Linked DNA regions of Drosophila melanogaster. The protein of the gene in region 4 interacts with the protein of the main gene of each other region in a pairwise test. Each region holds a gene or a part of one and is shown on either strand. Other genes may lie near its edges. The genes, in order: pasi2, CG14830, CG8851 and Sec23.

The links.
Region 1: the proteins of Sec23 (region 4) and pasi2 interact in a two-hybrid assay, tested with the Drosophila melanogaster proteins (one large-scale study listed by BioGRID).
Region 2: the proteins of Sec23 (region 4) and CG14830 interact in a two-hybrid assay, tested with the Drosophila melanogaster proteins (one large-scale study listed by BioGRID).
Region 3: the proteins of Sec23 (region 4) and CG8851 interact in a two-hybrid assay, tested with the Drosophila melanogaster proteins (one large-scale study listed by BioGRID).

The regions. Positions count from the first base shown.
Region 1 is NT_033777.3:9,333,119-9,338,247, forward strand, and holds pasi2 (pasiflora 2), read left to right. Parts: upstream 1-2,051; 5' UTR 2,052-2,134; exon of another isoform or gene 2,135-2,378; 5' UTR 2,379-2,443; coding exon 2,444-2,517; intron 2,518-2,582; coding exon 2,583-2,721; intron 2,722-2,781; coding exon 2,782-2,911; intron 2,912-3,039; coding exon 3,040-3,134; intron 3,135-3,364; coding exon 3,365-3,601; intron 3,602-3,660; coding exon 3,661-3,762; 3' UTR 3,763-4,341; downstream 4,342-5,129. Other genes in the region: Aduk (uncharacterized protein), read right to left, coding at 1-542, 603-827, 1,176-1,324, 1,393-1,479.
Region 2 is NT_037436.4:7,260,525-7,265,858, forward strand, and holds the start of CG14830 (uncharacterized protein), read right to left. Parts: upstream 3,397-5,334; 5' UTR 3,219-3,396; exon of another isoform or gene 3,108-3,218; intron 2,572-3,107; 5' UTR 2,425-2,571; intron 1-2,424.
Region 3 is NT_033779.5:3,517,647-3,523,502, reverse strand, and holds CG8851 (uncharacterized protein), read right to left. Parts: upstream 3,827-5,856; 5' UTR 3,792-3,826; coding exon 3,555-3,791; intron 3,282-3,554; exon of another isoform or gene 3,125-3,281; coding exon 2,195-3,124; intron 2,136-2,194; coding exon 1,131-2,135; 3' UTR 948-1,130; downstream 1-947. Other genes in the region: Sr-CIV (scavenger receptor class C, type IV), read left to right, coding at 1-359, 426-909; CG3213 (uncharacterized protein), read left to right, coding at 4,040-5,856.
Region 4 is NT_033777.3:5,646,994-5,653,567, forward strand, and holds Sec23 (secretory 23), read left to right. Parts: upstream 1-2,071; 5' UTR 2,072-2,244; exon of another isoform or gene 2,245-2,365; 5' UTR 2,366-2,388; coding exon 2,389-2,667; intron 2,668-2,726; coding exon 2,727-3,976; intron 3,977-4,038; coding exon 4,039-4,192; intron 4,193-4,260; coding exon 4,261-4,809; intron 4,810-4,987; coding exon 4,988-5,011; intron 5,012-5,387; coding exon 5,388-5,477; 3' UTR 5,478-5,636; downstream 5,637-6,574. Other genes in the region: MTA1-like (metastasis associated 1-like), read right to left, coding at 61-222, 1,504-1,531; elm (ethanol sensitive with low memory), read right to left, coding at 6,259-6,574.

The DNA.
Region 1 (5,129 bases), 3.7 Mb from region 4:
GCTTTGTGTAGGACAAGGCACGATTGCGCAATGCCAGCCGCTTGGTGGCGTCCGTCTCCTCCGTGATAAGCGGCACAAAATACTGCAGGGCACTGCAGTACAGATAGTAAGCCTCCTTGTAATTGTGTTTCTCATCGTATGCGCATGCTTGCGTGACCAAATCAATGGCCTTTTGCAGAGTGTGCTCCGTGGGAAACGTCTTGAGATCGAGAAAGGGATGCGCAAAGAAGTCTGCAAACGAAATGCGCGCCGTGGGCTCGTGGGCCAAAAGGCGGCGCAAGAGATCATGGCACTCGTTGCTGATCCGAGCGTTTGGTGGCAGTGTTATGGCCTCGGCCTTCCTAATCCTCAGCAATAGCTCCTCAATGGTTCGCGAACTATACGGCGCCTTGCCGAATAGGCATTCGTAGAGGATGACCCCGATGCTCCAGAGATCCGCCTTGGCATCGTACTGATGCTTGCGCACAATCTCTGGGGCCATGTAGAGCGGCGATCCCTTCAGCTGTTGATTGATTTCGCCTAGTTTGAGGTGCTGAGCAAACCTACAACAAACTAGAATTATTAGTATAAAGTATCTATTGTAATGCTATTTGGCTAACTACCCAAAGTCTGCCACCTTCAGGGACACATTGTTAGCTCCCCGGGTAAGCAGCAGGTTCTGTGGCTTAAGGTCGAAGTGGGACACATCGTTGGCTCGCATGTACTGCACAGCGGCAGCTAATTGGCGCAAAAAGTAGCGACAGGTGCTCTCCGGCAATGCCTTCTTGGTTCGTATAAAAGCGGATAGATTGCCGGCATTGCAATACTCCAAAACGATGTAAATATTTCTGAAATAAAGTAGACATTGTAGCATTCTTAATTCTGTTCATTGCTAGTATGTTTTCTAACGAAAATCGATTTCAATTAACTAGTTCCGCTGAATTGGTCAAAACTGGATGATTAATTGTTGGAACCCGTTCCTTGTAACTGAGTATGTCTTGAGTAGAATAAGTGTACAAAACTATCATTTGAATTGAAGAACTCTAAAGAACCAAACGTTTTTTATGTACATATACATAGTAGGAGTAGAGCTATAGAGGATTGTTAGCTAATCCTGCCACCATGTCAACTCCTACATATATGCTAATCCTTCTAGAAGGATGAACATCGACTGATTGCATGGAACGATGTCATACTTGTCGTCCCAGAAGAAATCCTGCAGGGTCACAATGTACTTGTGCTTGAGTTCCCGGAGGAGGCGTATTTCGGTGATTAGGTTTTCCCGCGAGGTTTGCGACAACGTCGACATTTCCACATACTTGATGGCATGATAAGTGCGCTGTTTCTGCAATGACAAAACGTAAATATTAAGACCCTTTGCTCTATGTGATGTGTATGTAACTGGTGTCCCACTTTGTGCCGCGCTTTGTACACGGTCGCATAGCTGCCCGCTCCAAGTTTCTCGAGAATTTCAAAGTCCGTGATCCGCGGCAGTGACATGTTGGGCCGGTCATCTAGTTCTGATACCAAATATTTTTAAAATTATATGTTTATGTTTTCCATTGGTCGATTGTTTTCGCTCTCCTCTGCTCACACACACACGCGCGCGCAATCCAGGGCTTCGCAATTCTTAACGATATCACAGTGAAATTGCTGAAACAAATCGATAGCAATCAATCGAATTTAAATCATTCGGCGATATAAAAAATTTGATTTTGTTGAATATATAAAAAGTTTTTACTCAGGAATCAGAATTAAAATGTATATATGATTTAACTAATCCAGCAGACATAAATGAAGTTCGGTTATGTTGTTTTATAAACATGGCAATAACTTCAAATTTACAATGAACCAAATCTATATTATTTTTTTCAATTTTATAAGTTTATGAACTGAACGTCTCGTAACCATATGCATCTCAGTTATGAATACCAATTTAATCATTTTTCTTATATCCTATATTACATTTAAACTGATAAATAAACAGGCGCCCAACTGCACAGCTGATTAGCCAATGCTGACAACATCGATAGCACTTGTTGCTCTATCGGTATTTGCTACTTTTGCTTATCGCATCCCTGGAAATATCTAAGCCCTGATTCGTATGTTTTGTTTTTGATGCGTTGCGTGGTGATTAATATTTCGTTTTTTTGGGGTAAATAAATGCTATGGTATTTCAATTATTGTTTTTCGGAGCCTCTGCAGATACTGCAACAGTATAACATAAAAATATATGTAGTTAACCACCTTGGAAAGTGTTTAAAACGCGGCTAAAGTCTTCGAAAACGTTAAGCCTTGCTTGACACACCCAAAATACACAAATTAAGCAAACACGCCCTGGTCAATAAACGAAAATCCACAGAACTCGCTTACTAACGGTTATGTTTCAAATGTTTTAGTAGCTGATTAAAGGATTGATAAAGGACTTGCCTTCTTATACACGTGACGAGACTTAAAAGGCTTCATGATGAATTACGGTAGGAAAACGCCCTCCACATATCGGTCCAATCCGTCGGTTTATTCCCATGCCACGGGAAGGTAAGTTTCCCTTATAACCTTTATAGTAATATGACCAAGCTAATCTTCTATATATAATCTTCTAGATCCTCGACGAATTTACACTCCAAGATGTCCCGATCCACGCGATCCGTCAGGATTCCTTGGTACCAGCGACCGTTGCTTAAAAACAATCAGTACATCGATATACAGAAGGGTGCCATGCTGGTCGGATTGTTTGCCATTGTAGGAGCGGAAAATCCTTATTGAGAAAGTTCTTTTTTGTAACACAAAACTCCCTTGCAGTTTCTGTCCCTCTTCACCATCGCCACGAGCATCTTTGACATCTACTGCTATGCTATGGCTGCGCCAGGATCCACACATTATGGCTACTACATCATATCCTATGAGTTCGTCTATGTGGGCAACAAGCATGGTGAGCTTTATGGGGGTATCCTTCGATTTTAAATCGAATTGGAATCGTATTCTTCGATTTTAAATCGAATTGGAAATCGTTGTTTTAACTTGAAATATCTTTTCATAACCCACCTGAATTATTTGTAGTTCGCAATATGCTCATTGTCTTTGCCCTGTTCTCGCTTATCATGGCGCTGATAAACTTTGTGACCAGTGTCCTTCTCTGCGTGGCTCTGCGCAAGGTAAGTTAGGGCTGGAAATCTTACAGATTTTGCATGCAATTCATTTACATTTCTCATTGCCCGAAAGCATAAAAAGCTGGGAGAACAGAAACGCTTACTGAGCAAAAGGGTAACAAACGCATTCTGCACAGTCATAAAGAAGAAATTAGCACAAAATGCAAACAATTGGCATACAAGTTTTTTTTTGTTAAAACCCATTATAATATATGATTTTTATAATACTACTATAGGAATACGAGAGGAAGGTTATGCCATGGCTGTGGTCCTTTGCCATATTTACTGTTTGGCGGGCTTTGGCACTGATCTTCTTTGCCATTGTCAATGATCTGTACTTTGCCTACAATGTGATTATGGTGCTCCTTTGGACCATTTTTTGTGTACTGTCTATATATGGATGGGCCGTGGTGTACTCTCTGTTTTTGGAACTGGTGGATCTGACCAAGCTGGAGGATCTAGCCCATTTACGCGTACGTTCATTAAGTTATCATATCTGAAATATGACTAATGAGTATAATTACCTTTCCAGATGGGCACAATGGCTTCCCTGCACGCATCGACAGCAAACTCACTTGCAGGATCACGGCCAACCACTCCTCACAGCACCGTGTCCACCATGCCCGTGGGCTAATAAAAGTATTTGCCATCCATCTATGGGGCTCACAACGAAATTGCACAATCTAGACCGTCCGAATGCAGCTCAAGATAACCCTGATGCTTCGCACTCAAACATTGCTTAAACTATAGTGTACATTCCATCCACCAGTTTAGTGCCTTAGAGATGCGCCTCTCGAATACCACAAATTTTAACCGCGAATCAGCGTAATTAGTTGTAAGTCTATTCCGTCCAAACGCATATGTTTTTTGTATACTGTTGAAGAATCGCTGTCTTTATGTATGAATGTCAAAATATCGTGTTTTTTATATTCATATATAGATGTACAACCCGAATTGTAGCTATGTATCTAAAATATTAAGCGACAAGCAATATAAAAAATACGAAACCGAAAATATGAGTCTAATGACACTTCAGTTGGGTCCATTTTCGGGCGTTAACCAAAAACGCCCACATTTGACAGCAGTTCATCTGAACTCATCTGCGTCAAGCGAAAAAATGATATGTACGATAATCTAATTCAAAGAAATTCCTTAAACTTTATTGTTTTCTATATGCAATTTCAAATTAAATCCTTTCAAAAATTTTCCGAAGAAATGTATCTTTAAAGTGCTCTTTTAAAAGTTCAATAGATGCTCAAGTCTCAACCTTATGGCAAAAGTTAATCTGCAAGTTGTTGGGATTTTTGAAATTACCAAAGAATCGAAAGGGGATCCCACTATGTGCATCTGGAATTTCCTGACCGCCCATCAATCTTGGAAGCACAATTGCTGGGACTTGTTTGCTGCGTTGAGTGTCAGTGCTCTGGTCATTAACACCCGAAATTATTAGCCCCACACCGCAAAGTGGGGCATTTCAAGTACACACGGGCACAAACATTCGCCGTGGGATGTGCGGAGGCCAAACAAAGTTCAATCAACTGTTTTTGTTAATCATTCCATGGATGACGACAACTCCGGCGATTTCGTAGTACTATCCACATACGCATTTGTATGCGTGCTTCTATTTGCTTGGTGGTGTCGGTGATAAACCCCAAGCTCGAGCTTTCCCACCCTATGTGTCACACACATTTTCCTATGCTGAATATTTTCTAAGAGCATTCTGCTTTCCTCATTCAAGTGGGGTAATTTGAACAATTGCATTTGGAATTCAGCTGGAAAACAAACTACGTCATCGAGTGGCGATTCTTTGTGGCCTTTGTGTGCTTATCTTATTCTTAGGGCTGAAACGTTTATCTTTTTTGATTGCCATCTTGTGCAATTAAAAAATGAACCAACGACAACAATACTTATAGTAAAATATAATAACATAGTAAGAATCCCTTTTCAGTTTATATAAATTAAACAAAAAGCTTAAATTTGATTACATTTGGATTAGATGAA
Region 2 (5,334 bases), on a different chromosome or scaffold from region 4:
GAATAAATGTTTAGCAACCTAAAGCTGGCAATTAAATTTCACCAGTCAATATTCTTTAGAATTATGCATAAGCGTTGTAAACAATATAATAAGAATGCCAGTAATGGCCTTTGAAATAGCTGTTCAGAGTCTAATGAAACCCATAATTTGCTTCTAACTGATACCCTAAAAAATCGAATCAGCCATCAGAAATCAGAAATCGGAGCCAAAACCGGTTGGCATCATTGATTCAATAAGCATTCAACTTAGCATCGATCTGCGAGTCGATAGCTGATTTATATAGCACGAATGCAACCGCGGAATGCCTGAATGTCTGAATGTTTGAATGTCGGATACTTTTTCGTATAATTTGCACGCAATGAATGTGCAAGCAACACGAGACATTAATTACATATATGTGATGATGACATCACCATCACCAAGTCATCTGTTGGTTTGCAGATTTCAATTGCATGCAGTCGCCTCAAATGTCAGATGAAAGTTGCAGTTGGTTGGATAATTCGTACCTGCATAATAGTTGGTTTGGTTTTTAGGTTCAGTTTTTAGTTGTCTTTCCGATTCACACGCAAACATCGAAAAATGAGTAAGACTGCGAAAGCTGGGAGTTGATTTATTTTTTTTTGCATATTTGTGTATAGTAACTTGACTTTATATAACCAACGTGCCGAAAGTGATTAGCTTTGATTGATTTGTGTTTTCTGATGAGTATTTTGCATATATACATTTGGGTATATACCCTCTTCGGTTAAATTTTACTGTGGCTTGGAGTCAATGAATCGCTAGTTTCTCGCTTAACACGTATACGCACCGTGTGCAGCTGCAAATTGGCCGTTTAAAACCTGTCTGCGCTGAACCGCAACAGCCGCAGCAGGATTACGTAACTTTCCCTGTATCTTGCGAATTACGCTGCTGACCATGAGCATCGGTTTTTAGCTGATAGCTGAAAAGCTATCTTTGCCAAAACTCTAATTGTTACCGAATTCGGCGCAATCACGAAACTCATAACTTCATGTTGACCCCAAACCAAAAATAAAAAATAAAAACGAAAAAAAAACCCCAGCACAATAAGAGACACAGAAAATTATCATTATTATCAAAACATTGTCATCAAACCAAAAGAAAAAAAAAAACAAGGGGGCTAAGAGAAAAACTAGAAACACTTGGCCGCTGGCGTTGGTTTTGAATTTCTAGCTGCAACTTTTATTGGATGGCCAGCGTGCTAAGCATGGCTGGCTTTTAAGCATAAACATGGCCAACGGCGAAGACACGAAGAAATAGTGCCGAAGAAAAATCCAACCAACTGAACAAGCAAAACCAAAACCAAAAGCAAGTTCTGTTATGCACAGTGGGTTAGTTACATGGGGGGTTTTTACTCTCATATCTGAACTATGGTAACTATGGGAGCTGCAGATACACCATATAGATAAGCCCATTGAAAACGCTTTTCCTAGCTTAATGATAATACTGGTTGGATAAGGGCTTATGTCAAAGCATTTCCTCGATATGCCTTTTGCCATCACGATTGTCACATTCGGGCGAAAAGTGAAAGCAATAAATGAAATGCATATAAGCACATTAAATTTCACTCATTGATCCATTTGGTATTGGCATTTGTACTGGTCTCACTATCGCCTAAAGGCAATTCCCCAGATTGCAGTCTTGCTGCCAAATGACCAAAGAGTGGCCTTTTCACTCGAATTTCCAACGGATTTCGGTAGCGAGTATCATTTTTGGTCCGTTGACAAATGACATAAGCACTCCTCCTGCGGCCATCGAAAGGCGAACAAACTGAACGACAAAAGACCGAAAATCGTGCTCATATAAGGCCAGTGTACCAGCCAACATTTGGCTGATACTTTCAGGGTCAACCGGTGCGTAATCAATGGAATCACCCACCCACGCAAAGGCAAAAGCTGAGTTCGGTTCAACGTTTTGCGGAAATTGAAACTGAAGGTGGATGGCAGTCTTAAGATGCTCGAAATGCAATTACACTGCGCCAAAAAGCAAATTGTTGGCAAATAAGCGAGTTGAGCATGCACTGGAAAAATTGATGTGCCCGAAAAATACTACAATAAGATGAAAATACTAGATGAATTTTAATATTTAGTTATAAATCAGCTTGATCCTAAGTCATTTAAAAACGAAATCATTAAACATATTGTAGTAGTATTGAACACACTTAAAAGTTTAAGCACTTCGTTTTAATTTGATTGTAATTTATATTCTCAAGTGAGTTTAGCTTATGTTCAGATGATCTAATTTAGATATGAGACATGTGTCCTTGGATTTTTCTCTCTGTATTCTCGTCTATGCATCCACACAACTTCCCTTCATATACATATATACATATATAGAGATATGGGAATGTATTCCGCGGCATGGTTGTGGGCTACAAAATAAATAAAAATACAAAAACTGGCTTACCTTCTCTCCTCATTGTTATACAGTTGAACTGGCCGTGCTGTTGGTATTGTTTCGCTTATTTATTGTTAACGCTTTTTGCCAGCCAATGCGACAGGTTGTTAGTTTTTGGCCGCTGTACACATTTCATTACACTTCACTTGGCTGCTGCTGCACCGAAAATCGAGAAAACAAACATTGCCAATGTGATTTGGTTGTGTGGAGAAAAATATTAATGTAAATTGGAAATATGAAGGCGATGACATCGTCGCCGCTGACGCTTTGCAAATGTGCTTGTGCGCGTGTGTGTGTGTGTGTGGGCCAAAAACCTTTACTAGTTCTGACCAAAATGGCAGCCAACACATTAATACACGGAATGATATAATCGCCAGCGCCGCCATGAATGAATGAATGAAAGGCGTTGCAGCTTCTCGCAAGTTGGCTCGAATCGGTCGGTGCGAGGCGGCCTAAACACAATGGCCAAGACATCGGAACTCGTCTAACTCGGCTCAAATCTTCTTGGCCCAGGCACTGTTTTACATTTTTGTTTCGCTTTTTGCGGCGGCACAGCAAATTGCAGCGCCATAATGAAATCGCCCATAATCTTGGCTAAGGCTAATAATAGCAGCAGGTTTTGGAGCTGGCCAACACACAAATACACACACAAACACACTCGCACACACTTTGGCTTAGACACAGACACATACAGATGGCGAGCAAATTTGGCCAGCACTCTGTTTGTTCTTTTCTTTTTCTTATTTTTCTCGCCAACAGATCGGGCGTATACTTCACGTCGAAAAAATTCAAATGACACTCACGTAATCCGCTAAAAATAGTTGCTTTTGCTGCGCGTTATTTATCTCAGATTTTTTTTTTTTTTTTTCGTTGGAGTAAAACTTTGTTTTGTTTGTTTGGCAATCGCGGAGATTGCAAAATGCACCGTGGTCCGGTGGGAAAAATCGAAGCGAACGCGTTGCGATCACGGCTCAAACTGATCGCTCGAGAGTTGCGACAATGTTCCAGCACCTGTGAGAGTGGTCTAAACTGGTCTAAAACGCGTCTCGAACCGGTTGCGCTCTTGGCCAACTCAATCCTCACTATCGACTCTTCGGGCTCTTTCCCAACTATACTCTCCCCATCTCTCTCACTCTCTGTGGCTTTCTTGGCCTGGCCGTGCCGGTCTCCACCATCTGCACTTTGCACTTTTGGCGACTGCATTTTGTTGTCAAACTGCAAAAACTGCATTTAATAACCGTTAACCGAAACTTCTGCAACACGTGCACTGCATTCGCACACAGAGAAAAAAAAGGTGACGAAAGATTCTCTTTCTATGAAATTCTTAGATAGAAGTTTAGAATTTTTTGGTGGTGGTATGATAAGTAAACTTATGGTTAGTTTTATAAGAAAATATTTAAAAGATGTTTTTTATTTTTATCTTTATTTAAATCATAGACTTTGATACTTTTACTTTAACATAAAATATAATCATCTTGCTTATAATTTGTCACATTATCTCCCTATGAATATTTTTTCAGTGCACCGGGAGGTAAAGTGGGTGGTGGGAGGAGTTGGTGTTGGTTGTGGTAGTGAGGGAGCGTTACAGGGGTTACAGGGAGGTGAACTGTATTGGGGGCTTACTACATTAGGCTCCACTGGCTGACAGGCACCGCTGTTGGCCAGCTGCCGCACGTGACTGTGCAATGCTTTTGACTGCTGGCTGGAGCATTGGGGGTCATGTTGGCTGGCGGCAGAAGTTGGGGGCTTAATTTGCATCATGTCATTAGGATGAGTGGCATCGATAATGGGGCCAGAGGCCCAACTCTCTGGGTCACTTTTCCCCGCACATCCCCCTCTCTCTGTAAACGTTTAAGGTTGCAATTTATACGCTGAATGGTATTCAAAATAGTCAGTCATGTAAAAAAAAAATATTACATGCCATATTTTTCGTACATTGTATGCATTTGTGTGAAAATATTGCGCGAAATTTTCAAACAACTTTCGTGCAACTTCCGTTTGCGCAGTTAGCATTAGTTTATTTTCTATTTTGCAATTATAATTTGAAAAAATATAAATAATGTATATATTATTTAAAAATTTAATTTTCATTTAATATGGCTTCCAACTGGACTGAAAAGTGTACTTACCAGCAGTTGTTTAACTTTCCTCTGAAACAGAGATATGTGAAATATTTGTTCACCATCTCCAGCGTGTCAAATCCTTACTAATTTTTTTATTTGCTCCGTACAGCGAATGTCGTCCTGTTCTAAGTTGGATATCTTTGATTCTGACACGAACAGGATCCTGTGCATACTTTGTGCATTGTCTATTTCAGGTTTTTCTCCTGCCAGCACTTTTTTTTTTGCACACACATTCAGTGTGCAGAGGTGGATGGACTTTTTTTTTGTTAAATCCCTCACTCGGTTCCTTAGGGTAGTAGTAGTTCGTAGTAGTTCGTTCGTTACTTTTTGTTGACTTTACGCATCAGGCGCAGCTCGAGAAGGTCTGGTGTTTGTTCTTTGGCACTGCAAGTCGTAAAAAGTTTTTTCGTCCTCGGCTGGTGTCATAAAAGTTGCATAAAACTGCACAGATTTCTCAGTCGTGAGTGTCGTGAAAAAGTTTAGATTGTGCCTTAAATACAATGAGACCATCTACATATGTACACTTACATATGTATCGTCTCAAAGGATCGCTTTAAGGTGACCCCTTTAAGTGGCAAAGTCGTTCGTACGTCATGTGCTTAAAATGGCTGAAAAAAGACTGGGAAAAATCGACGGGTTCGCATGTGTCGGGATTTAATTTAGATAAAAGCTTTTCCACACTTTCACTCCGGACCTTTGACGTGCACCAGATAATGCCTCAAATCAATTCCGTAAACATTTTCCCGGCCGCAACCCCGACAGCAAGACGACAATTTGTTTTCATACCTCTGACATT
Region 3 (5,856 bases), on a different chromosome or scaffold from region 4:
ACGATCGATGTTTCCTGTGATTTCGAGAGCGAGGATATGTGCGGCTGGACGGCGGAATTGAGCTTCTTGGGAACTTGGAAACGGGTCAGTACGGTGGCCGACTTTCACTCTGAGAAAACGGGTCCCCAAAAAGATCACACGTTCCAAAACCAATCCATCGGACACTACGTGCGCATGGAGACGGAAAGCGATGCTTTTGGAACCTACCACTTCCTATCGCCACTGTATCCCAAGGAGCTCAGTTTGAGTGGCGCCTGCTTCCAGTTTCACTACTTCATGTTCGGCAGCGGAGTGGGTAGCCTGCTGGTGTCCATAAAACCCGTTTCGGTGACTATAGGAGACATATTTAAAACAAACCAGTGAGTTGCTTACTAATTATCTTATCTAGAATTAAGTTTGCCTTATACAGCAATATGATTTTTTAGTCCCTACAAGTTCGACCAATTCGTGATGACTGGATCACAAGGTGCCAGGTGGCTGGAGCACACGATCGATATCAATAAGATGGATGAGGACTTCCAAGTGATCTTTACCGCCACGGATGCGAGGTCCCAATACGGAGATATTGCCATCGACGACGTGAAGCTGATGGCAGCTAAGGAATGTGCCAGGAGGTCTACCTTCATCGAGGAACCAAAAAAACCAATAGAAGAATCGGATATCACGGATTCACTGGGCTACCAAATGACCGACTGCTCTGGTCGTTGTGGTCAGGACTTTGTTCGGGGAAGGTACATCAATGAAGGGTGTCGATGCCAAGAATCATGTCTGGTGAACGGCAATTGTTGCCTAAATTATGTCAAGGAGTGCCATAAAGATCTGGTCATAGCTCCGTATAATGAACTCAAATTCTGGAGGCTTTGGAATCTTTGGAGCGGTGATAGTAATGTGACTGTCGTACCTAAATAAGTTCCTATCCCAATACATTTAACCGAATCATTAAAAGTACTTTTAAAAATGAGTTTACATAATCATTAGAGTGAAATAATTGGTGGCTTAATAAGGGCTGATAATGTCCAGGCAACTTGATGGCATAGTCCAAGTGCTGGGAGCAGTACCTTCAAGTTGCCTGGACAGCTGATGAGCCCAATCTAGTGCCTAGGTCTAGGCAGTCCAGTCCAGATCCCCGTTTAGATCGTCGCCTTCAGAGTTCGGGGGGCTGCAAATCGACCGTTGCTGGTTCCCTGGGGCAGCTGATTGATCCTGATCAGACTGGGTCGATGGGAACCACCTGATGTCAAGTGGGCAATGCCAGCCGACCCACTGCCAACGATGCCCGTGCCACCCTGATTCGTCATGGAGTAGATGTGCCGCCGGAGAACCCTTATGTGTTTCTGCGAGACCTCGAAGTTGTGGACCAGGGTGTGGAGTTGCGTCTGGAGCTCAGCTATCAGACTATCCCGTTCCTGGATCAAACTGGACGTCGAGTTTTGGCTCCTACTCAGCTTCAGTTCGAGGTCGTAGATCTTCTTCTGCAGATCCCTGCGCTGCTTTTCGCTCTGCTCGCGATGGCGGGAAAGTTGCCTTTTGCTGCTCGCCTGGAGCTGCTCCAGCTGATCCTTCATGGTGGACAGCTCCTGGGTCAGTTTCCGCTTCTCCGTCTTCAAGGCCGAGTTGTAGTTCTTAAAGATCTTCAGATCCCTTTCGGCGGCCTTCAGCCGGTTGATGGTGACCAACTTTCGGCGGCCCAGTTCATCTATTTTGACCTTCAGCTGCATGGCTTCCTGTTGGAGGGCATGAAGTTTATCCGCCAGCAGACAATTTTCCCGCATTACCGTCTCGTACTTGGAGTGCTCGTCTCGCATCATCTTCGGCAAATGGGAGACACTTTTCAGTTTGTTGTCTATCTTGGATCGCAGACTGTCTATGTCATGGTAGATGCTCGACTCCAACTGCTTGTTATTCACGTGCAGCTTCTCGATCTCCTGCTTCTGGGTGCTCATGATGTCCTGGGCTTTCACACACCGCGTGTGGTAGTCCGATATTCTCTCCTGCTGCTGCCGAATGAGAGTTCGAAACTGGACCTGCTCGCTCTTCAGTCCCTTAATGGTGGTAAGGAGCTGGCTTATATCTCCAGAGTCCCTGTCCCTGTCTCTGTCCCTACCTCGATCCCGTTCATGCTTGTACTTCTGATCCTGATTAAGGAAGAAGGTTTAAGTTTTTATATTCCATTTAGCTAACAGCTAATTCATACCTGTGAGGTGTTGATCACATCCTTCAGCACATTGTACACATCCTTGAAGGATGCTGGCTCCCTTTCCCGATCGTCCTGCTCCAAGGATCTCTTCCTGCGCTTCACGTGACGGTTCGCCAGTGTTTCCACAATACGGCTGTCAAAAACGCTGTTCACCTGTGATGGCAGATCGTCCTTGTGCCGATGGTGATTCTGCTGATGAGTACTCCTTTCGGACGCGTATTTCTTTCTATCGATTTCGTCGCAGGAACTCTGGCCCGATAGAACGGTCATGAAACTGGTATTGCTGCGCAGGATTTGGGGGCTCTTTCGTCTGATGGTCGTCTGCGAGGTGACACTGCTGGCAGAGCTATAAAATCCATCCGGATCGGGCTCACTTCCCAGATCCATTTGCTGGGCCTGCTTCCTGCTGGACACGAACTGATCGTGCTTCTGCTGCATTTCGCACAGCTCGTAGTTAATTTTCATGTACTTCTCCTCCAGATCCTTGGTGCTTTCGTTGTAGTCCTTGAGCTCCTGCTTGTACTTGCAGAGTTCCTCCTTTAGCTTGCTGCCAAGGGCTTCCGAGTCTGGCAACCTCCTCTTCGAGCCCAAACCCTTTCTGTAATCTTCCGGCTCTTCATCACTCATGATTAGGCTGACCTCCTTACCTTCCCTGCTGTTCTTGGGTAATTTTGTTATACTGGGACTACAGTGGTCCCCGAAGTCCAAGCTACTGGCACTTCTCGTATCTAGTACTTTGGAGCTCGGCCTGGAGAGGCTGACATAGCTACTCTTTTCATTTTCATCTGCCTGATCTTCGTTCTTCTCATCCAGCTCGAAGTCCAGTCCCATTGAGGTGTTACTAGATGATGTTCCTTTGCGATTCTGTGGACGGAATCGAAGTGATCGTTGTCTGTTGGCTAATGGTCGCCTGGATGGCTTTAACATCTACGAAAATTTAGCCTATTTGGTTAATGTTGCACTTGTGTAATTTTTTGCACTGTTTTTGGCGAACAGAGAATTTTTTTAAAAACCTTATGTGACACATTCAATTCCCAAAAATATTAATTTTACGTAGGACGTGACGAAAATTATTTGATAGAAAATTGGGCGTTACGCCTACTCGAATGGCATTTGCCTTCTGGAAAATATCGCTGTTCGAGGATTGATTATATCCTTAAGGTTTATATAATAGTTTTAGATAATAAACCACATCTCCCAGTAGAGTGATAATTTATATATGTATATTCCTACTGATTGCCCTTTAAATTTCCCATTTCACCGTAAAACATTTTCATACTTTTATGTTAGTAAAGGATACAGGTAGATTCTCATAACATATTTTCGAATAGATTTAAAATTATTTATTAAGATATACCATTTCCTTCAAGTCGCACTGTGTTTTGATTTTGAACCAATTCAAGTAGCGGCAGTAGTAAATATAGTTGTTTGTTTCGCCGAATAGATGCCTCGATACACACTCCTCCCGAAGGACACATTCCTGACCATCCTGGGAGGGAGGACTCCGGTAATCCACCTCGACAAAGCAAGTCCTCGATCCCAATCCAGTTCTCCGGGATCTTTCGTTCGATTCTCCCAAGTCGAAGCAGGCCATTCCAAATCTGTTGCCAACTGCCCAGGGCGAATGTCCGTGGATTTTTCAGTTCATTTTATTCGATCACGAAGAAAACAACTTATTCTTCCCAAAACTTGTTTCGAAATTTTTTCAGAGTATGTGTTAAAATTTTCGCAGAATATACGTACCTTAAAATCGTTAGTAAATCTAGCCAAATATAAAAAAAAAAAAAAAAAAATTTTAACCATACAATTTTTGGCCGCATCGATAAGTGAATCTAAATCGCGATGGCAGAGAACACAGAGTACACCGATGAGGGCGGCGAGTACGAGGACGATGAGAACCAGTACCTTGGCGAACAGCACATGATGGAGGAGGGGCCCGACGAGGACCTCTTCTCCAAGCTGGGCGAGTCCTCCGACGATCCCGAGCAGAAGCGCATGTACATGGAGTACCTGGCGCTGATCAAGGAGATCGATTGCCAGAACAAGATCATCCAGGACATCAAGAGCAACATCATGGACATGTGCGCCAAGCCCTGCAAGACCCGCAACGAACTGCGCGAGATCAAGCGGTTGAGGATTTGCATGGAGCAGGAGAACATTAAGCTGCACACCATGATGAACAGAGCGGTGCAGCTGCAAAACTTCGGCTCCCATCGGCACTACAAGGAGCTGGCCATGACCACCACCGTCGACGAGGACAACCTGTCACCGTATATGTGTGGCATCGGTCCTTGTGCTCCAGCTGGCAGCGCCACGGATCCCTGTAGCGAAGAGCCTAGCTCGTGTGCCAGTGTTTGTGGTGGCGGCGGAGGCGGTGGAGGTCAACGGGACATGGCTGGTCAGGACGACAAGTTGATCTGCGCTCTGCAAAAGGCCATGCAGAAGATGAAGGGCGCTTGTCCTGAGGACAAGAAGATGATCGAAGAGATCGCCTGCGCTATAATGAGCTGCAAGAAGCAGCCGGTATGCGTTCCGGGTCCCTGTCCGCCACCACCCTGTCCGGGTCCTTGCCAAGGTCCTTGCCCGGAGAGCAGCAGCAGCAGCATTGCCCCATGTCCTCCTCCCTGTCCAGCCAAACGGAAGGCTCAGAAGGCTCCCTGCCCCCAGCCCCAGCCCCAGCCACCGGGCAAGTGCGAGTCCTTGGAGAAACTGAAGCGGCGCATCCAATGCATGCAGACCTCGGTGAAGAAGTTGCTCCAGGAGGTGAGCAATCGGGATGCGTCCGAACCCTGTGACGTCGACGACGATGACGATGAAGGAGAGGAGGACCCCTGCTCCAGGCCGTGTCCTCCCAGGCCGCCGTGTCCCGAGGATCCAGACCCACTGGTCATCTGCGGCGGAAAGCGGAACACCAAGGCCGACAAGTACGAGAAGATGAAGGAGAACTACACCAGGCTGCTAACCGAGTTTCAGCGCAAGGACTGCCAGATGAAGGAGATGCAGAAGCGAATGAAGGGTATCTGTGGTCCCTGTCCATCGAAAGGGGGCGACGGGGATGCCGATGCCGCCGAGCTGAATCTACTTCGAGCGCGGGTCAACGAGCTCAAGGAGGAGCAGCTGGAGTTCAAGTGCATCATGAAGGAGCAGTCGCAGCAGTTAGAGGACTACCGCAACAAGTACCTGCTGGCCCAGCAGAAGGTCGAGGAACAGTGCGTCTCCCTAGAGAAGCTGAACATGAACAACAAACGAATCGAACAGCAGATCAACACGGAGGTCAAAGAGATTCGAGCTAAGTTCCAAGAGAAACTGAACGAGTTACTGCACTTCCCCAAGCTCTTAGAGAACGAGCAGCTGAAGCTGGCCCAGGTTTGCAAGGAGAAGGATGAGATGCAGACGAAACTGGTGGTGGTCTGCAAGGAGCTCAAGGCCTGCAAGACGCAGATGGAGCAGCAACCCAACGTCGATGTGCGACCTCAGCTGGCCCAGTGCCAAATGGAACTGACTCAGGCCAGGAATGAACTGGAGGAGCTTCTCCGACAGAGGGATCTCTTCTGCGAACAGCTCAAGTCCACCCAAGACGATCTGGACACTCTGCGAACTGAATCCGCCAAGATCATAGCCGGCACCAAGGAACGGGCCGAGCTGATCAAGTCCCAGCA
Region 4 (6,574 bases):
AGAGGTAACGTAACGCAAGATATGGATGCGGTTTCGAGGGAACAGGGTTTCTCTACTCACGTTGGTGTTTGTCGGCCAATTGCACGAGCGGATTGGGCAGATCCCGGCGGCGGTAGAAGCACATGACCTTCGCTTCCACATTGCCGGTTTGGTTTTTGTTCAGCTCCTCGATGCGTCGTATTAAGTAGGGACTGTTCGGCGTTGTCTCAACGTAAACATAGTCTGAAAAAAAAACAGTTTTTGAGGTGGCTGATGCAAAAGGGTCAGAAAAGGGCATGGAAGGGTGGGGGGCTGCAACTCCATTAATACGTCACAGGTAAGCGCACACATACACCTATACACGCATCCACCTAAGTGCGACCACCACTACCAGCTAAAGCGCAATTAAATACATATGGGTCTATCCATCCATATAACTTTATACCTACAACAACTGCAGCGGAACCTGTCGTTGACTATTATAAAAAATAAAAGAAATTCCGTTTATCTGTATGTACATACATACATAGATACAAACGTCGTGTGCACTTCTGCTACATTTTGGGATGCAGATACACAGATAGATGGGTAGATAGATGAAGAGAGATGAAAAAGAAAGTGTGGAGGCAGCGAGAAAGCATTGCCGAAGGTGTGTAACTGTGTGCGTGGCCATTAAAAACGGCTAACAAAAAACGCCGATGGAGACAAAAAGTTCTCGGCGATAAAGAGCAGATAATTCGACAAGTATATATGCCATTAATATTTATTTTGATTCCGTTAATTGAAAGCTTGCGTATCCGACCGAGCTTATTTGCATTTCGAAAGAGCACACACACCCACACACTTGCGAAAATCAGGTGAAGACAACACAATAACGTCACCGCTCGAGCGCGAGCGAGATGGCTAACAGAAAGTGCGTCAGGCAGGGTGAGGAGTGGGAGGCGTGAGATGGGGGGAGATGCTCAAAAGCTCATTAGCATATGAAAACACAAAAAGGCGGGTGGGCGGTGAGCCCAAAAGTGAGATACACTTTCGCACATAGTCAAACAAACACACACGCTGGAGAGATCACAATTCGGCAAAACCAAATCCAAATGCAAATGCAATTCAGTTCCCCAGCCCTAGAATACACACACACGCATACACTTAGGGCATAAGTTAATGCTTATCGGTTGGAACACGTCGAAAACACTTGCTGCAGCTGCGACACAAGAGCAGCAGGGGGCTCCTTCAAAGAAGTTAAAAAAAATAGAAAAGGTCTCTCCTTTTCGACGGATTGTTCTTGAGATTGATAATACACGCACACACACACACATACACGTGCGTCGGGTCTCCCACTAAAGGGTTTTCGGCAATTAAAATGCACTTTCGTTATTGTTGGAAAGCCTCCTCAGACACAACACACACGCATACGCACACATTGGACACACACACACATATGCAGAAGCGAACACGCACACCGTGAAACGGCGGCGCCGATAACGAAAGATGATAGAAAAGCGAGTACGCGAAAATTTTTCTCACCTCCGACTCGATACATATTTGTGGCCATTTTCACTACGCTACCGCACCAAAACTTTCACATGCAAAACACTCGGCACACGCTTAGCACTGTTTTTCAATGGTCCTGTTCCAAACTAGCGCACATTTATTAGCAGAAAACTCGAGTTGTTATGATTGCATTTTTCACATAAGAAGACGCGTTTTTTTCGTCGCCATCTTAGAAACAACTCAACTCTAAAAAATACACGCACACACACACAATGCCGAGTAAACAGCTGCACCAGGGATGCACTCCACGGTGCGATAGTTTGGCCATCGATAGCAATCGATACATGGGGTGTTGGGTAAAAACTTAATGTTAAAATTTAGTTGGGGCGATAAGAAAAACGATAAGGGGCTTTTCTAGGAATACGATTTATATTTATTTATATTATATATACTTCTTGAATAACAATATATATCATTAAGAAAATTAACTGAAAAAATTATGGGCGAACCTTGTTTTATTTATCATTTTCAAAACATATTTATTTTCACCCTTTTTTTCTCATATTAAAACATTCATTCAATCGCATGGGGCGCATGCGATAGTATCGCTTGAAAACTGTCTTCCCTAACATGCAACGTTTGCACTTAAAATTCTGTAATAGTTCGTAGTCTAGGTTTCTACGTTTTGTACGTTTGTATAAATTGTTTCCAGAGTGAGTGCTTTGATTTGAAGAGCCTCTTAAAGACTCATCTCGCGAATTTGTTTACTTTCGCGTGAGTATTTTGGCCGTCGCCAGCACGAAAGGTGTCACGACTCGCTGTCAATCCGTGACGTGGCCTGACCGACCGATTTTTCCAATTGGCAGAGGTCTAACAGAGGTTTTTCCGATTTAAGTATTACATTTAAGTGTTCCGGCGATGACCACCTACGAGGAGTTCATCCAGCAGAACGAGGACCGCGACGGAGTGCGGCTGACGTGGAATGTGTGGCCCTCAAGTCGCATCGAAGCCAGTCGGCTGGTGGTGCCCCTAGCTTGTCTTTACCAGCCTTTGAAGGAGCGCCCCGACCTACCGCCTATTCAATATGAGCCGGTCTTGTGCACTCGCAGCAACTGCAGGGCCATCCTGAATCCACTGTGCCAGGTGGACTACCGTGCTAAGTTGTGGGTGTGCAACTTCTGTTTTCAGCGCAATCCGGTGAGCTCAATGGTGATCTTTAGACTCTCTGCGGCAGTTTATGACAGTCATTATTCCAGTTTCCCCCTCAATATGCTGCCATTTCCGAGCAGCACCAACCAGCGGAGCTGATTCCGGGATTCAGCACTATTGAGTATACTATTACACGGGCCCCCACCATGCCGCCCGTCTTCATTTTCCTGGTTGACACCTGCATGGACGAGGAGGAGCTGGACGCCCTCAAGGATTCGTTGCAAATGTCGCTAAGTCTGCTGCCAACCAACGCTCTCGTGGGTCTGATAACCTTCGGAAAAATGATACAGGTGCACGAGCTGGGCGCGGAAGGCTGCTCTAAGAGCTATGTGTTTCGTGGTACCAAGGACCTGACTGCCAAGCAGGTGCAGGATATGCTCGGAATTGGGCGTGGAGCGGCTCCGGGGCCGCAGCAACAGCAGCACCTGCCCGGCCAGCCGGCTGGAGCGGCGGCCCCTGTGCCGCCCGCCCATCGCTTCTTGCAACCGATCGGCCAGTGCGACGCGGCGCTGGGCGATCTGCTTAGCGAGTTGCAACGCGATCCTTGGCCGGTGCCGCAGGGCAAGCGTTACCTGCGCTCCACTGGTGCCGCCCTATCTATTGCGGTGGGCCTGTTGGAGTGCACTTATCCCAATACGGGCGGTCGCATTATGACCTTCGTGGGTGGCCCTTGCTCCCAGGGCCCCGGCCAGGTGGTCGACGACGAGCTGAAGCACCCGATTCGTTCGCATCACGACATCCACAAGGACAACGTGCGGTTTATGAAGAAGGCTATCAAACACTATGATGCTTTGGCATTGCGGGCAGCCACCAACGGGCATAGTGTCGACATATACTCGTGTGCCCTGGACCAAACCGGACTGCTGGAGATGAAGCAGCTATGCAACTCCACTGGCGGCCACATGGTCATGGGCGATTCGTTCAACTCATCGCTCTTCAAGCAGACATTCCAACGCGTCTTCGCACGTGATGGTCGCAACGACTTGAAGATGGCCTTCAATGCCACGCTGGAGGTGAAGTGCTCGCGCGAGTTGAAGATCTCCGGTGGCATCGGCTCGTGTGTGTCGCTGAATGTGAAGAGCCCGTCGGTGTCGGATGTGGAGATCGGCATGGGCAACACGGTGCAGTGGAAGCTGTGCACATTGAATCCCAGCTCCACCGTAGCCTACTTCTTTGAGGTGGTCAACCAGCATGCAGCCCCCATTCCGCAGGGCGGGCGTGGCTGCATACAGTTCATTACGCAGTACCAGCACCCAAGTGGACAGCGGCGAATCCGAGTTACCACACTGGCCAGAAAGTATGTGTTGGCATAAATCAGCCCAGAGTTTACTTACGTGGTTCAATCTGTTTGTTTTTCAGTTGGGCCGATGCCACCTCGAACGTGCACCACATCAGCGCTGGCTTCGATCAGGAGGCCGCCGCAGTTCTGATGGCCCGTATGGTCGTCTATCGTGCGGAGACTGACGAAGGACCCGACATTCTGCGCTGGGTCGATCGTCAGTTGATTCGTCTGGTAAGTTTTCAATGTGCAAAATTACTCGTGCCCAATTAATTAGTATTGTAAATGCTTTCCTTTTACAGTGCCAAAAGTTCGGCGAGTACTCAAAGGACGATCCCAACAGCTTCAGGCTGTCGCAAAACTTCAGCCTATTCCCGCAATTCATGTACCACCTGCGCCGCTCGCAGTTCCTGCAGGTCTTCAACAACTCGCCCGACGAGACCACATTCTATCGACACATGCTAATGCGCGAGGACCTCACCCAATCGCTGATCATGATCCAGCCTATTCTCTACAGCTACTCGTTCAACGGCCCTCCAGAACCGGTCCTCCTCGATACGGCTTCCATCCAGGCGGATCGCATCCTCCTGATGGACACGTTCTTTCAGATTCTGATTTACCACGGCGAGACCATCGCCCAGTGGAGAGCCCTCAAATACCAGGACATGCCAGAGTACGAGAACTTCAAGCAGCTGCTGCAAGCACCGGTGGACGACGCGCAAGAGATTCTTCAGACGCGCTTCCCCATGCCTCGCTACATCGATACGGAGCACGGCGGATCCCAGGCCCGCTTCCTGCTGTCCAAGGTCAATCCCTCGCAGACGCACAACAACATGTACGCCTACGGGCAGGTGAGTCTCGCAGCCAGCGCCATCAACTGGCCACATTTGATTGATCTTTGCAGCGCTCCATTTGGCGTCATCGAAAATTTAATCTCAATCGAAATCTCAATCTCGTTTTATGTTGGTTTTGTTTCTCTCATTGTATAATCCGTACCCGTATCCGTAACCGCTCCTTTGTCAATCGCAGGCGCCCATCGGTCAAGTCACGGTAGTACATATTTGTTTAATTTTCAACTTTTAAACTGGTGGAAAGGTGGATATTTGAAATTTAAGGGGCGGGTAAAAAATCTTTGGAAATTGGATATGTCCTTTGCTCTTGATAGCTATAAGTCCAAAATAAGTGTTTTGGATTTTGCAATAAATCTAAGATGGCCAACCCCACACGGCTTAATCTAAGCAAAGATTTTGTCTGTTCCTATTTTTTCATATTGTTTTTAATAATTTCAAACATGATTTATATATAAGTGGCTTTTGGTGTTGGACCCTTCTAGGTGCTTGTATCCCTTTTTCATTCATCCTCCCCTCCCCACTTGGCACGATCCCACCCACCCATCGCATGACTAATTTTCCGGACATTATCTCGACAGGATGGCGGGGCTCCAGTGCTCACGGATGACGTTTCGCTGCAGCTGTTCATGGAGCACCTCAAGAAGCTGGCTGTGTCCACCACCACATAAATCGACTCTGGCTCTAGTTTCAGGCGCTTGCTTCCCTGGCGAAGTCGAAGAAGGCGAACGACACCTGGAATCAATGGTCCAGGCAATGAAATTACGAATATACAACCACTTATTCCAATTGATCGTCTTATAACGCAATAAACTATTCAAATTATGTTCAACAATAAGTGTGTTAATCCGCGATGCTTTTATTCGTAAGCAGCTGAATTAGAATTTACGTTGAGCGGAATGAGTTTGTAATTATAAAAACAAGGCATTAACAAAATGAAATGAGCATCTCTTTCATTCTTCATAACAACTATTAATACAAGTAAATCCGACGGGTTCCTGAAACCTACAAGATTTGTAAAAATTATTTTTTTGTAATATAAGACAGCAAAAGATTTATTTATATTTTTATCATAAATATTTGATCAAATTTCCGGACGCATTTAACTTTTAGATACCAAGCAATTGGTTATATTTTTCTGTATTTCTCTAGCACCCGTGATCAAACATATGCATTTTTTGTTTAACTTGAATGAAATATCTTCGATAAGCTTTGGGCAAATTACTCAGGTTTAAAAAACTTTGCGACACTTTCATTTTCATTCATTAAATTGAAACTTCTAAATGGTTGGAAAACACAACTGGTATAATAAGAATAGCAACCACTGCTTTCAAATCATTAGAGTTTTCAGTAACCCGCCGGAATGCCTCTCGACTAACTGCATCCTAAACTATTTGGTACACACTGACTAAGAAGGTCGCTCTTTCCTCGTGATTGCCGCATCCAGCTAGCCTAGTTGAGAAACCGTATGGACATCTTCTGATCCACGTCGGTGCGGTCCAGAGCTTTGCAGAAGTCCTCGAACGAGATCTTGCCCTGGCAGCACAGGTCCGCCTCCAGGATCGTCCTCTCCGCAATGCTGACCAACTGGTCCTGGCTAATGTTCGCCCCGACCATCATGTGCAGGATGGAGAGCAGCTCGTCTCTGCTGATCACACCATCGTCATCCAGATCGTACATCTTGAAGGCGAACTTCAGCTTCTCCTCCCGGCTGTTGAGCTTACTTTGCTTGTTATCCCTCAGCGGCCGGAAGTGGGCCAGGACGTTC